Macaca fascicularis: one gene and its partners. The protein of the gene in region 1 interacts with the protein of each later gene in a pairwise test. Links are inferred from orthologs where the notes say so. Each region holds a gene or a part of one and is shown in the gene's direction. Other genes may lie near its edges. The genes, in order: DISC1, DPYSL3 and PPP4R1.

Region 1 (3,649 bases):
ATCTAAAAATGACATTTTAATAACTCTTATCATATGTGCCAGACATTGTTCTAAGCTGTCTACAAATAGTAACTCATTTAGTTGAAAGCTCACAACCACCTTATGAGAGAGCTGTTAATATCACCACTTTACTGATGGGGAAACTGAGGCACAGAGCGGTTAAGTAACTTTGTGGAAGGTCACACAACCAGCAAGTGGTACAGTCAGGGTTTGAACCAGGCAATGAGGAATCAGCATTTGTTATTGTTCCTATTCCTATAGCCTAGCTGGAAGGGGAATGCAGTGCTGGTTTGGAGAACACATCAAGCAGGCCTCCTGTCATTCACTGAGTGAGATGAGATGATGGCCATACATTGCAGCACAGCCAGCTATCCATGGGTCTGCAGCAACAGATCAGTCTTGCAGGGACATGGATAGCCCCGCTAGTGAACATTCACATGTTGTTCAATGAATAGCTAGAGTAAATGGTTGGATCTCATTTAGGGGCATGCTCTGGCATCCCACTTTCACGTCATTTGCTTTCCAGGCCCACTCCAGGATGAGAGTACTGATGTGCCATAAAAGACCAACAGGCAAGATGTTGGAGGGTTCAGGAGCCACCAAAGTTGTGTTCATGCTGACCTGTGGGCATAGCATACAGCAGTGCCAGTTGCTCTGCTAAACCCAGGAGCTGAGATGCTGTGTTGATTTCTACATGTTCCAGGCAAACACTTCCTGAGGATTGTTGGGATTTTCATAACGGATTGGCCCCAGGACCATTGAGCCAGCATGTATCTTTGACAGGTGTACCGAGAGATGACCTTTAAACCTAGGGATGTGCTCCAGATGCAGTTCCAGCTGGGCCAGTAAGAACTGCACGTTTATAGTGCTGTTTTCTCTTTCCTTCCCAGGCGGCCGGGATTGCTTACCACCTGCAGCGTGCTTTCGGAGGCGGCGGCTGGCACGGAGGCCGGGCTACATGAGAAGCTCGACAGGGCCTGGGATCGGGTTCCTTTCCCCAGCAGTGGGCACACTGTTCCGGGTCCCAGGAGGGGTGCCTGGCGAGGAGTCCCACCACTTGGAGTCCAAGACCAGAGAGTGTGGCCTTGACCTGGGAGGCCTCTTGGTTGGGAGCCCTGTTTCCAAGAGCGCAGCAGCCCCTGCTGTGACCTCTGTGAGAGGAACCTCGGCACACTTTGGGATTCAGCTCAGAGGTGGCACCAGATTGCCTGACAGGCTTAGCAGGCTGTGTGGCCCTGGGAATGCTGGGTGGCAGCAAGAGTTTGCAGCCATGGACAGTTCTGAGACCTTGGACACCAGCTGGGAGGCAGCCTGCAGTGATGGAGCAAGGTGTGTCCAGGCAGCAGGCTCTGTGCCATCAGCAGAGTTGAGTAGCAATAGCTGCAACCCTGGCTGTGGCCTTGAGGACCCCCCAACCCCTCCTGGCTCTCACAGTGCCTTTGCCTCAAGCTTTAGCTTTATTCGGCTCTCGCTTGGCTCTGCCGGGGAACGTGGAGAAGCAGAAGGCTGCCCACCATCCAGAGAGGCCGAGTCCCCTTGCCAGAGCCCCCAGGAGATGGGAGCCAAAGCTGCCAGCTTGGACGGGCCTCATAAGGACCCTCGATGTCTCTCTCGGCCCTTCAGTCTCTTGGCTACACAGGTCTCAGAGGACTTGGCCCAGGCCGCCGGGAACAGCTCCAGGCCAGAGTGTGAGATGCATTCTTTACCGGACATGGACTCTGGTTCCTCCAGTTCTCTGGATCCCTCACTGGCTGGCTGTGGTGGTGATGGGAGCAGCGGATCGGAGGATGCCCACTCTTGGGACACCCTGCTCAGGAAATGGGAGCCAGTGCTGCGGGACTGCCTGCTGAGAAACCGGAGGCAGGTGGAGGTCAGTGTCTCCTCCACCTCTGCAGCCCGAGATTGTCGTGAGCTCAGATTAGCACTGGGCAGATGGCAGAAAGTGAGGGGTTCTGGGCTCAACTGCTATCCTCCTAAAAGCTGCAGCAGCTCCTTTTGGAGCTGGCTGAACAAGGATGTTGCTACACTTCTGTCTCTTTGAATTGGACACAGATCTACCCTCCCTTTTGTCTTCTCTGTCACGTAGGTGCTCAGATTTGCTCTCCATTGGGCCGCAGGCTCCTCCACAGGCCCTGGCCTAGGTGAGACGTGGTTAACTCAGCTCAGCTCTGCTTTGAGACAGGAAACTGGGGGCAGGGGAGATTGAGCTGGATGATGTTTAGAAGGGGTTGAGAGATACAAAAATGGGGATGCCCTGTATCAGGGCGATCCTGCTCTTCATCCACTTCACTCATTCCCTTCCATCCTGCTGCAGTGACTGCTGCCTTCCATAGGATCAGGAGACTTCGCTTCTGGTCATTGAACCTCTCCGGCTCTCAGTTTCCGTATTTAGAGATAACACCAACTCATAGGATTGTTCTAAGGCTCAAATGAGAATGTAGCTGCTTTGGAAATAAGGACAAACTGGAGACATCTAAGGCCCAGCCTTATGATGTTGCTGTCTATCCAGTTATCTGAGAGGTGGGTATAGCCAGAAGTAGGCAGGGTTCCTCTACCCACAAAAATTCCCAGAGAAGCCCAGGTAGAGATGCTCTGTGGCTGATCTATTGCCAGACTGTGTTTTAATCCTGGTGGGTGTACATATGTGTGTTTGTGTGTGTGTGTGTGCACATAGAGGTGTGCATGTGTGTGCTTGTATGTGTTTGCATGTGCATGTGTATGTGTGTGCATGTGCGTGTGTTTGTGCATGCGTGTGTGAGTGTATTTGTGGGTGTGCTCATGTGTTTGTGTGTGTGCGCATATACGTGTGCATGTGTGTGCGTGTGTGTATGTGTGTCTGCATGTTTGTGCTGTGTGTGCATGTTTGTGCATGCGTGTGTGAGTGTATGTATTTGTGGGTGTGTGTGCACTCGTGTTTGTGTGTGCATATAGGTGTGTGTGTGTGCGTGTGTGCATATAGGTATGCATGTGTGTGCGTGTGTGTATGTGTGTGCATGTTTGTGCTGTGTGTGTGTATGTGTGTGTGCATGTTTGTGCTGTGTGTGCATGTGTGTGTATGCATGCGTGTGTGAGTATGTATTTGTGGGTGTGTGTGCACTCGCATGTGTGTGGGGATGTGTTCATGTGAGTAGGGAAGTGGAGCACCCACTCATCAGGCATTTGGGAGGAGAATCTGCAGAAGCTCATGCTCATTCCCCGAAAGAGCATCTACCTTCCGTTCTTTATCTGCAGTCTGGTGTTCCTAGCCCTGTCCCTGTTTGCCCTTTTTCAGCCCTCAGGGACCTCAGCCCAGCCCTCTGATTTATTATGCAGAGAGGGATTGAGGCCAGAGCAGAGATGCAGGCTGGTATTCTGGGTGATGTGTGGAGTCTTCCAGTTAGTCATTGCCTAAACCAATGCCCTTGTCTTTCCCCCAAACCCATTCTGAAGGGCCTCCAATATTGGTTGATTCGAATGCATAGAATCTATCCAGTTTCTTAGGCCAGAAACCACAACCATCTTCCACACCTCCCTCTCCCTCGTTCCACATCTGGCCGGCCTCCAAGCCCTCTCAGTCCTACTGCTCATCTGTCTCTCACCACCATGGCCGCTGCCCTGACTCAGATCCTTGTTATCTTTCACCTGGGTTTAGCAAGAGGGTCTACCTTCC
Region 2 (3,663 bases), on another chromosome or scaffold:
AGGAAAGGGCTTACGTGAGTCAAAGGGTTTTTGTGACTCTCAATGAAGTAAGACGACTTCTCTTTCAGTGTGTGTGTGTTGTGTTGTGTGTGTAAGCCAATTCAGGACTTTATGTGAGAGTGTGGGTTTGCAAGGCAGATTCTAGAACTGGGTGTAATTGTGAGGGTCATCCTAAAGATCAGGATGAGGCAAGTCCGGGGTTCTGGGTAGGATTGTGAGTTTGTAGTAAATTTGAGTTTGTATGTGTTATTGTAAATCAGGACTTGGCTTTGAGATGAATCCACCTGGGTCAGCTGGGTTTTTGTGCATGAGGGACGTCAGAAAGCTTTGTATTTGTGAGGCAAACTAGGGAGTTAGTGTGGGTGAAGCAGTCAAGTGCTTGAGTGTGAACATTTCTAAGACGTCTGAATTGCATGAAAGTGTGTGAAGCAAGGCTGTTGCGCGAGCGGGCAGTGTGCGCCTGTGTGTGCGTGTGCGCGCGCGCCAAGTTTGGTTTGTGATTGTGATGGGCACCGACGCTGCGTCAGCCCGGGAGGCCACGTTAGGGTTGGGGGTGCGTGAGGAGGTGCGGCCGGGCGAGAGGTCCAGCGAGCGAGCCAAGCGCGCCGCTACTCCGGGCCCCTGCGCCGCGCGCTAGCTGGCTGTGTGGCTCTCTGGCTCGCTAGGGACAGGCAGGAATCGGAGCAGCACTGCCGCCTCTGGCGCGAAGGCTCAGGCGCCTCCTCCCGCCCCAGTCACTGTGGCTCGGCGCACGCTGCCGGCAGCTGCCCTTTCCGCCTCTGGGGAAGAAAAACCCGCGGGCCGTTTTCGCGCTTGAACCATGGCCTCGGGCCGGAGAGGCTGGGACAGCTCCCATGAAGACGATCTGCCCGTGTACCTGGCCAGGCCGGGCACCACGGACCAGGTCCCGCGGCAGAAATACGGCGGCATGTTCTGCAACGTGGAGGGCGCCTTCGAGAGCAAGACGCTGGATTTCGATGCCCTCAGCGTGGGGCAGCGGGGCGCGAAGACTCCTCGGAGCGGCCAGGGCAGCGACCGAGGCTCAGGGAGCCGGCCCGGGACCGAGGGGGACACCCCGCGCAGGGGCCAAGGCCGGGAAGAGAGCAGGGAGCCCGCGCCCGCGTCCCCCGCGCCCTCCGGGGTGGAGATTCGGAGCGCCACCGGCAAAGAGGTGTTGCAGAACCTCGGCCCCAAGGACAAGGTAAGGGGGCCCCCGTCACTTCCCTGCTTGCCTTCGTTCCTTTCTCCAGCCCTGGCCGCCATGGCCCGGGCACAACTTTCTCCAGCTCACTTTGCACGGGGTTGGGGGACCAGGAGGAGGAAAGGGGCATCCTCCACTGAGCTCTGCGCGACTTCCTAGCCCAGACCCTGGATTCGCGCGTGTCGCCACTTGCAGCATCTTCGTGCAAGCGCGGAAAGAATGCCCAGGTTCCCCTGCCTGGAGCCGCGTCCTTTACCCCTGCCTCCTCGCCGCACTCCTGGGCCATCCGTTCTGGGTGGGTGTGTCAGCCCGGGAAGGCTTAGTGATTTCCAGCTCTTCTCTCTGTATGAGTAGCCAACAGCACAATTGTCTTGCCCCTCTCTGGCCCTAGATTAAATCTCAACCCAGGTCACCAGGGCAGAGGGCAAAGTGATGCTGGGAATATGGGGGTCATCTCCATAGTGCCCGGATGAAAGTACAGGAGGGGCGGTCTCCCCTCTGAGTCTTCAAACATCAGCTGTCCCTGAAACTTTTGGGTGTGGAGCCTCTAGACTAAACACGCGAATCTCTCTCTATGCCTCGCTTCTGTCTTAGCACGCATTTCACATCTGTGTTTGTCAAGAGTGTATTTGTGTACACAGCTTGGCACAAGACCGGGTATCAAGGGGTCCAGCTGCCTCTGCAAGAATAGCATTATATTTTAGAAAATAGACGAGAGTATTAAGAGTGCACATTAAACTAGCATGAGATGCAAATTCCCTGCTGCTCTTAAATGTGCCAAAGCCAATTTCTTCTGTATGTGTATTTTTGAGAAACTTATGTCACACTGAACTGACTGAAGGGATGGCATTGAAATCTAGCTTGCCCTGATTTATGTGTCTATTTCATAGAGAATCAGAGATGTAGTTCAGAAATTGCAGGGCCTGGCAGGGCTGGAGCCTTCAGAGTTCAAACTGAAGCTTTCAGCTGGGGAATAATAGTAATCAGATGCCCTCACCCTTGTCTAGGTAATGGCCGCAAAATCCATCCGCATGTATTATTCTGCACTAATATGGTTAGGAATAATAACCTGAAATGGAAATGTCTGCCTCAGAGCAATTACAGTTAATGCTTATCTAGGTTTTAGTTGTTTTTCCATTAAAATGCAATAAGCTAGTGAAAGAACAGCATCTCTCTCCACTGTTTGATTTTTGAAAGTTTAGACAAACCAACCAACCAGCCTTTAACTGCTAAGACCACCAGGGAAAATAAGTGCTGAAGTTAGTGCTGTTCGAGGATACCACTTGGAAAACAATGTCGGTTTCCTCTGGAATCATTCATTTAGTTTGTGATTTTCACATCATCCTTTTAGTGTGTGTTTCCCCTAAGCCTTTGCTTAGGGGAACAACGCTTTAGGGAAAACTTCTGATATTTTGCAAATGTTTTGGTTGGTACCTAAACTGAAGAAGAGCCCTATAGAAAGGTTATTCCTTTCTTCATGTCTGAGTTGATCCGTATTGAAATGTTCCCTTCCTGACTGGAAGGGGCGGGAGTAGTGATGGAAAAGGTCGGTAACAATTGGTGTGAGTCAGTGCTATTCCCTTTGCTGAAACACCCCTGATGTAAGCCAGATAATATGCTGGGTTTGCAAGATTTAAGAATGGTAACTAGAGAAAGGGAAAATATTCCTCCTTTAAACCTAGCAATTCTCCCATTTTCCTCCCTTTTGCAAACCCTATACTTTTGGCTACTAATTGAGAAATAATAATACAACCTAGGCATCGGCAGCATTTCTAGTGCTACATAGTTATTTGTAAGTTTGGGTTTGCCATCTGCTTCATCCAGGCCATGTTATTATCTCTAATTTGGTTGAATCACACTGTTAGAAGAGACCACAGAGGTTATCAAGTTCTGAACTTGTTGTTTATTCCCTTGAGGGTAGAGATTGTGTATTTGAATTTATCTGTGTGGCTACAATGCTTGGCACATTGGAGGTGCTCAATAAATGTTTGATACACTAAACTTCCTTAATTAAACCATCTGTTTTGCCACATAGCTGGCAAAATGATCATCTGGCCTCTGCTTAAATACAACCATTGTCAGGGAGCTCACTACCTCATGAAGCAACTTTTTGGACAACTTCACTTAAAAAAAAAATTAAGCCCAAATCTGCCTACCTGTAGTTTCTACAAATTATTCTTAGTTCTGACCTCTGGAAATGTAAAGGTAAATATGTTTCCTTATTCTGAGACATTTTAATGATTTTTAGGTATGTGCACTCTTGTATCTGTCAGAAAAGGCTGGGTGATGCCACAGTAACAACCCCCAACTCTCAGCAGCTTAATAAAAAACATAACAGCATATTTCTTGCTCCTATTTGTCCAGTGTGAGTCAACAGGAAAGCTCCATTCATTATTGTGCCTAACTTGATGGAGGCTCCATCTCTACATGTCTGTGAATAGTATGTGGCAAATTGTATACAC
Region 3 (3,649 bases), on another chromosome or scaffold:
AATGATAGAGTGAGACTGTCTCAAAAAAAAAAAAAAGTTTGCTCAGTTCCACAACATAAATGAAATAGTTTCAGAGTTACTCCACCAATAATAATTCCCACATCAAATCAGCTACATAATATTCAGGACTTCGTAGCACATTCTGTCCTTAGACTGTCTCTTGAAGATGTGTGGTCACTCAGTTCACACTTTGGCTTTTTTCCCTGTGATTGGTTTCCATCTGATGTACAGTTAGGTTGGTTTTTCCCCCTTTAAATATTTATAGAGCAGCTATTGGGATACATTTCTTTATTTTTTTTCTCTCAACAAATACTGAATGCCTGCTCTGTGCTGTCACAGTGCCACATGCAGGGCTTACACACGTGGTTAAGAGCATAATTACTGCCTTAAGTGGGGCCATGGCAACAAGGATGTCATATGAATAAAGGGGGGCAAGTCCTGTAATCAAGCTGTGCCCGGCGTACTGTGGGGTTTAGTGTGGCTCATTGATAGACACAAGGAATAAAGATTGCCAGACAAGATGGTGATTCCTGAAGGCAAATGGTGTTATTCAAGGAAAAATAAACTTAATACCAAATTTAAAACATTTAAATACAACTACTACATTTCCTTTTCAGAAGAATTAACCATATTGCTTACAGTCTGTTTTTACACACTCTAATAAAAGAAATAATGTCTGTACCTTGTCCTGGTAAATATTTTTATTTTGTTACTTTAGCTTCTTCATATTGACAAAAGAAGAGAGTATCTTTATCAACTTCAGGAGTTTTTGGTGACAGATAATAGTAGAAATTGGCGGTTTCGAGCTGAACTGGCTGAGTAAGTTCTAACAGTTTATTAGATTATATTTTGGAGGGGTATATATTTACTTCATTTTTACCTTCTCTCAGTTTCATTACTTTGTGTAGATCCAAGTTTCTATGTGGTGTTCTAGCCCTTTAACGCTTCCTGTAATACATGTCTTACTGTCAGTGAATTTCCTCAACTTTTTTTTTTTTTTTCCTGAAAATGTCTTTAGTTCATTTTTATATTATTTTTATCATGGTGAAATACACATAGCCAAATTTGCTATTGATGACATTTAGTACATTCACAATGTTGTGGAACCATTCCCTCTAGTTCTAAAATGTTAACCTCCTGAAAAGAAAAATGCATGTCCAATAAGCATCTACTTACTATCTATGGATTTGCCTATTGTGGACATGTCATGCAAGTGGAATCATACCACATGTGGCCTTTTGTGCTTGGTTTCTTCATCTAACAATGCTTTCAGTTGTCCCTCCATATTGTATCCTCTAGCTGAACTTGCCTCCCTTTTTGTGGTTGAGTAAATATTCCATTGTATGGATATACCACATTCATTTAGTGCATTCATCTGTTGAGGAACATTTGGGTTGGGTGTGTGGTCTTTTGTGAATAGTGCTGCTAGGAACGTTTATGTACAAGATTTAATCCTTGAAATCTGTTTTCAGTTATTTTGAGGTGGATTTGCAAGGCCATATGGTAATTCTGTGTTTAATTCATTGAGGAACTGCCACACTTTTCTACAACAGCTGTACCATTTTACATTCCCATCAGCAACGTATGGGAGTTCCAATTTCTGTATGTCCTCACTAACACCTATTTTCCTATTAAATTTTAAAAATATTTCTAAATTGGCCAAATAATAATTGTGCATATTTATAAGGTATGTAATGATGTTGCAATACATATTGGATAGTGGTTAGATAAGGGCAATTAGCATATCCATCACTCGCTTATCATTGATAGCTGTTCTGATGGGTGTGGAACAGCACCTCGTTGTGGTATGATTCACATTTCCCTAATGACTAATGATGTTGAACACTTTTTCATAAGCCTGTTAACCATTTGTGTATATTTTGTGGAGAAATGTCTATCCAAGTCTCTTGCACATTTTTAAATTGGGTTGTTTATCTTAAGTTGTGTTGTTGAGTTGTAAGAGCTATTTATATATTCCGGATCATACACCTCACGTGTATTTTCAGATGACGTCTTTGCTGAGTATGGGATGTGGGGCTGACAGTTTGTCTTTCAGTGTATTAAAAATGCCTCTCCATTGAGTTCTGGCTTTCCCACTTCTGACTCGAAATGCACGCCTCCTCTTCCGCCATGTAGTGCCGGGATGTGAGTCCAGCTAGTCAGGATCAAGCTGGGCTTGCGTTTTGTCATTGCTGTGGTTACCTTCAGTGTATTTGGGGCTTCAGTTTTCCTCACTGTGGGCTGCCACTACCGTTGCCGTTTGCTGAGGGTGGGAGCTGGGGCACCAGTGGTCTTGTAGTGCGAGTATTCCACCCAGGCTTGAGCTATACCTGCACCCCTGTGTAATGGGTGGGGCCTCCTGTCTGTGCTTGGTCTCGGGCAGGACTTCCTGCAGCTCCTCCTAGAATAAGGAGCGTTAGTTCTCCTCTCCCCCAGTTGCAGCGTTTTTGCTGGCCCACAGGGTAGACAGGCTTTGGGCCCCTCCACCAGCAGGTTAAGCCTTTTGCTTTGTGTGAGTGAAGGGCCCAGTAGAGTGCTTGGTGATTCGTGGCTGTCCGTCAGCCGCTTCTGCCTGCTATGAGACATCGCTCCTGTTTCTCCTGACTGTCTTTCTTGAAGCACCCATGGGAGGCAGGCACCCTGTGGAAGTCAGAAGGTCAGAAGGTTGCCTGGGGATGTGAGCTCCCTGTGTCGGGCACATATGGCTTTGCTTGAGCCACTCCATGCTCGTGCCAGCCACCATCTGGCCCTGGGCAGCTGGCTACAATTCGAGCTGATTTCTCCCCACCCTGTTATGTGCTGGCAGGTGCCCTGTCCCTCTGGGCTCTGCTGAGGGGGAAAGTTAGGCTGTTTGGGTGCTTTGCAACCCCAGCTCTCTGATGGGCTCAAGAAAAGATCTTGAAGTTTATATAGCTTTTTCTACTGTAGGGTCAGTGACATTCTTGCAGTTTTCTGTATTCTAAGCAGAAACTGATGTCCTATTTGGAATTCTGATTTTGAACTTTGTCAAAAAGTACGTGTGTCTGTTTGAGGTTGTATGTTTGTATGCACAGGTGCATTGTCATGACTGCATAATCTACGTTCATGTTACAGTTGACTTCCTGCTTATTAGAAATGTAAATCATCTCGAACATAAAATCTGAAAGGCAAAAGTCTCACATCCAAGGTATTTCTTCAAGGGCATCATTGAAGCCTTCAGGTTAGCTTGGTGGATGTCATGAAAGTCTCAGGGCCCCTCAGATGTGATGGGAAGGTCGCTGGAGGACACCCTCCCTCTGTTATCCCTAGCGAGTCCCTTCCAGGAAGGCTCCTCAGAGCCCCGACAGGTACACAGCAGACTACCTGCCCCTGCGGGAACTTCTTACTGAGAAACTTGATTGTAGATGGAAGCTTCTCAGCACGTTCCACACTGTAACCATGGATCAGTGTGGGCCATGTTCCAGTTGAACATACTAGGAAGTGCTTTGCTCTCTCAGTTCCCATGGATGCAGAGCTCTACGGCTTTTGTTTTCCTTACACTCTACGGAACTTGAATAGCATGTAAGTGCGTTTCCAGATGCAGAGACTGGAGGTAACTGGACAGGAGAGGTCCGCTTAGTCGCTCCTCTTTGCATGTGTTTGAGACAGGTGCTCCGTAATCCAGTATTGC

The links.
Region 2: the proteins of DISC1 (region 1) and DPYSL3 interact in a two-hybrid assay, tested with the Homo sapiens proteins (2 studies listed by BioGRID and IntAct). The link is inferred for Macaca fascicularis from reciprocal best matches to the Homo sapiens genes DISC1 and DPYSL3.
Region 3: the proteins of DISC1 (region 1) and PPP4R1 interact in a two-hybrid assay, tested with the Homo sapiens proteins (2 studies listed by BioGRID and IntAct). The link is inferred for Macaca fascicularis from reciprocal best matches to the Homo sapiens genes DISC1 and PPP4R1.

Annotation. Positions count from the first base shown.
Region 1 is NC_088375.1:17,386,430-17,390,078, reverse strand, and holds part of DISC1 (disrupted in schizophrenia 1 protein), read left to right. Parts: intron 1-890; coding exon 891-1,870; intron 1,871-3,649. UniProt on the Homo sapiens protein: Involved in the regulation of multiple aspects of embryonic and adult neurogenesis. Required for neural progenitor proliferation in the ventrical/subventrical zone during embryonic brain development and in the adult dentate gyrus of the hippocampus.
Region 2 is NC_088380.1:154,298,573-154,302,235, reverse strand, and holds the start of DPYSL3 (dihydropyrimidinase-related protein 3), read left to right. Parts: upstream 1-732; 5' UTR 733-820; coding exon 821-1,201; intron 1,202-3,663.
Region 3 is NC_088392.1:77,896,910-77,900,558, reverse strand, and holds part of PPP4R1 (serine/threonine-protein phosphatase 4 regulatory subunit 1), read left to right. Parts: intron 1-718; coding exon 719-819; intron 820-3,649. UniProt on the Homo sapiens protein: Regulatory subunit of serine/threonine-protein phosphatase 4. May play a role in regulation of cell division in renal glomeruli. The PPP4C-PPP4R1 PP4 complex may play a role in dephosphorylation and regulation of HDAC3.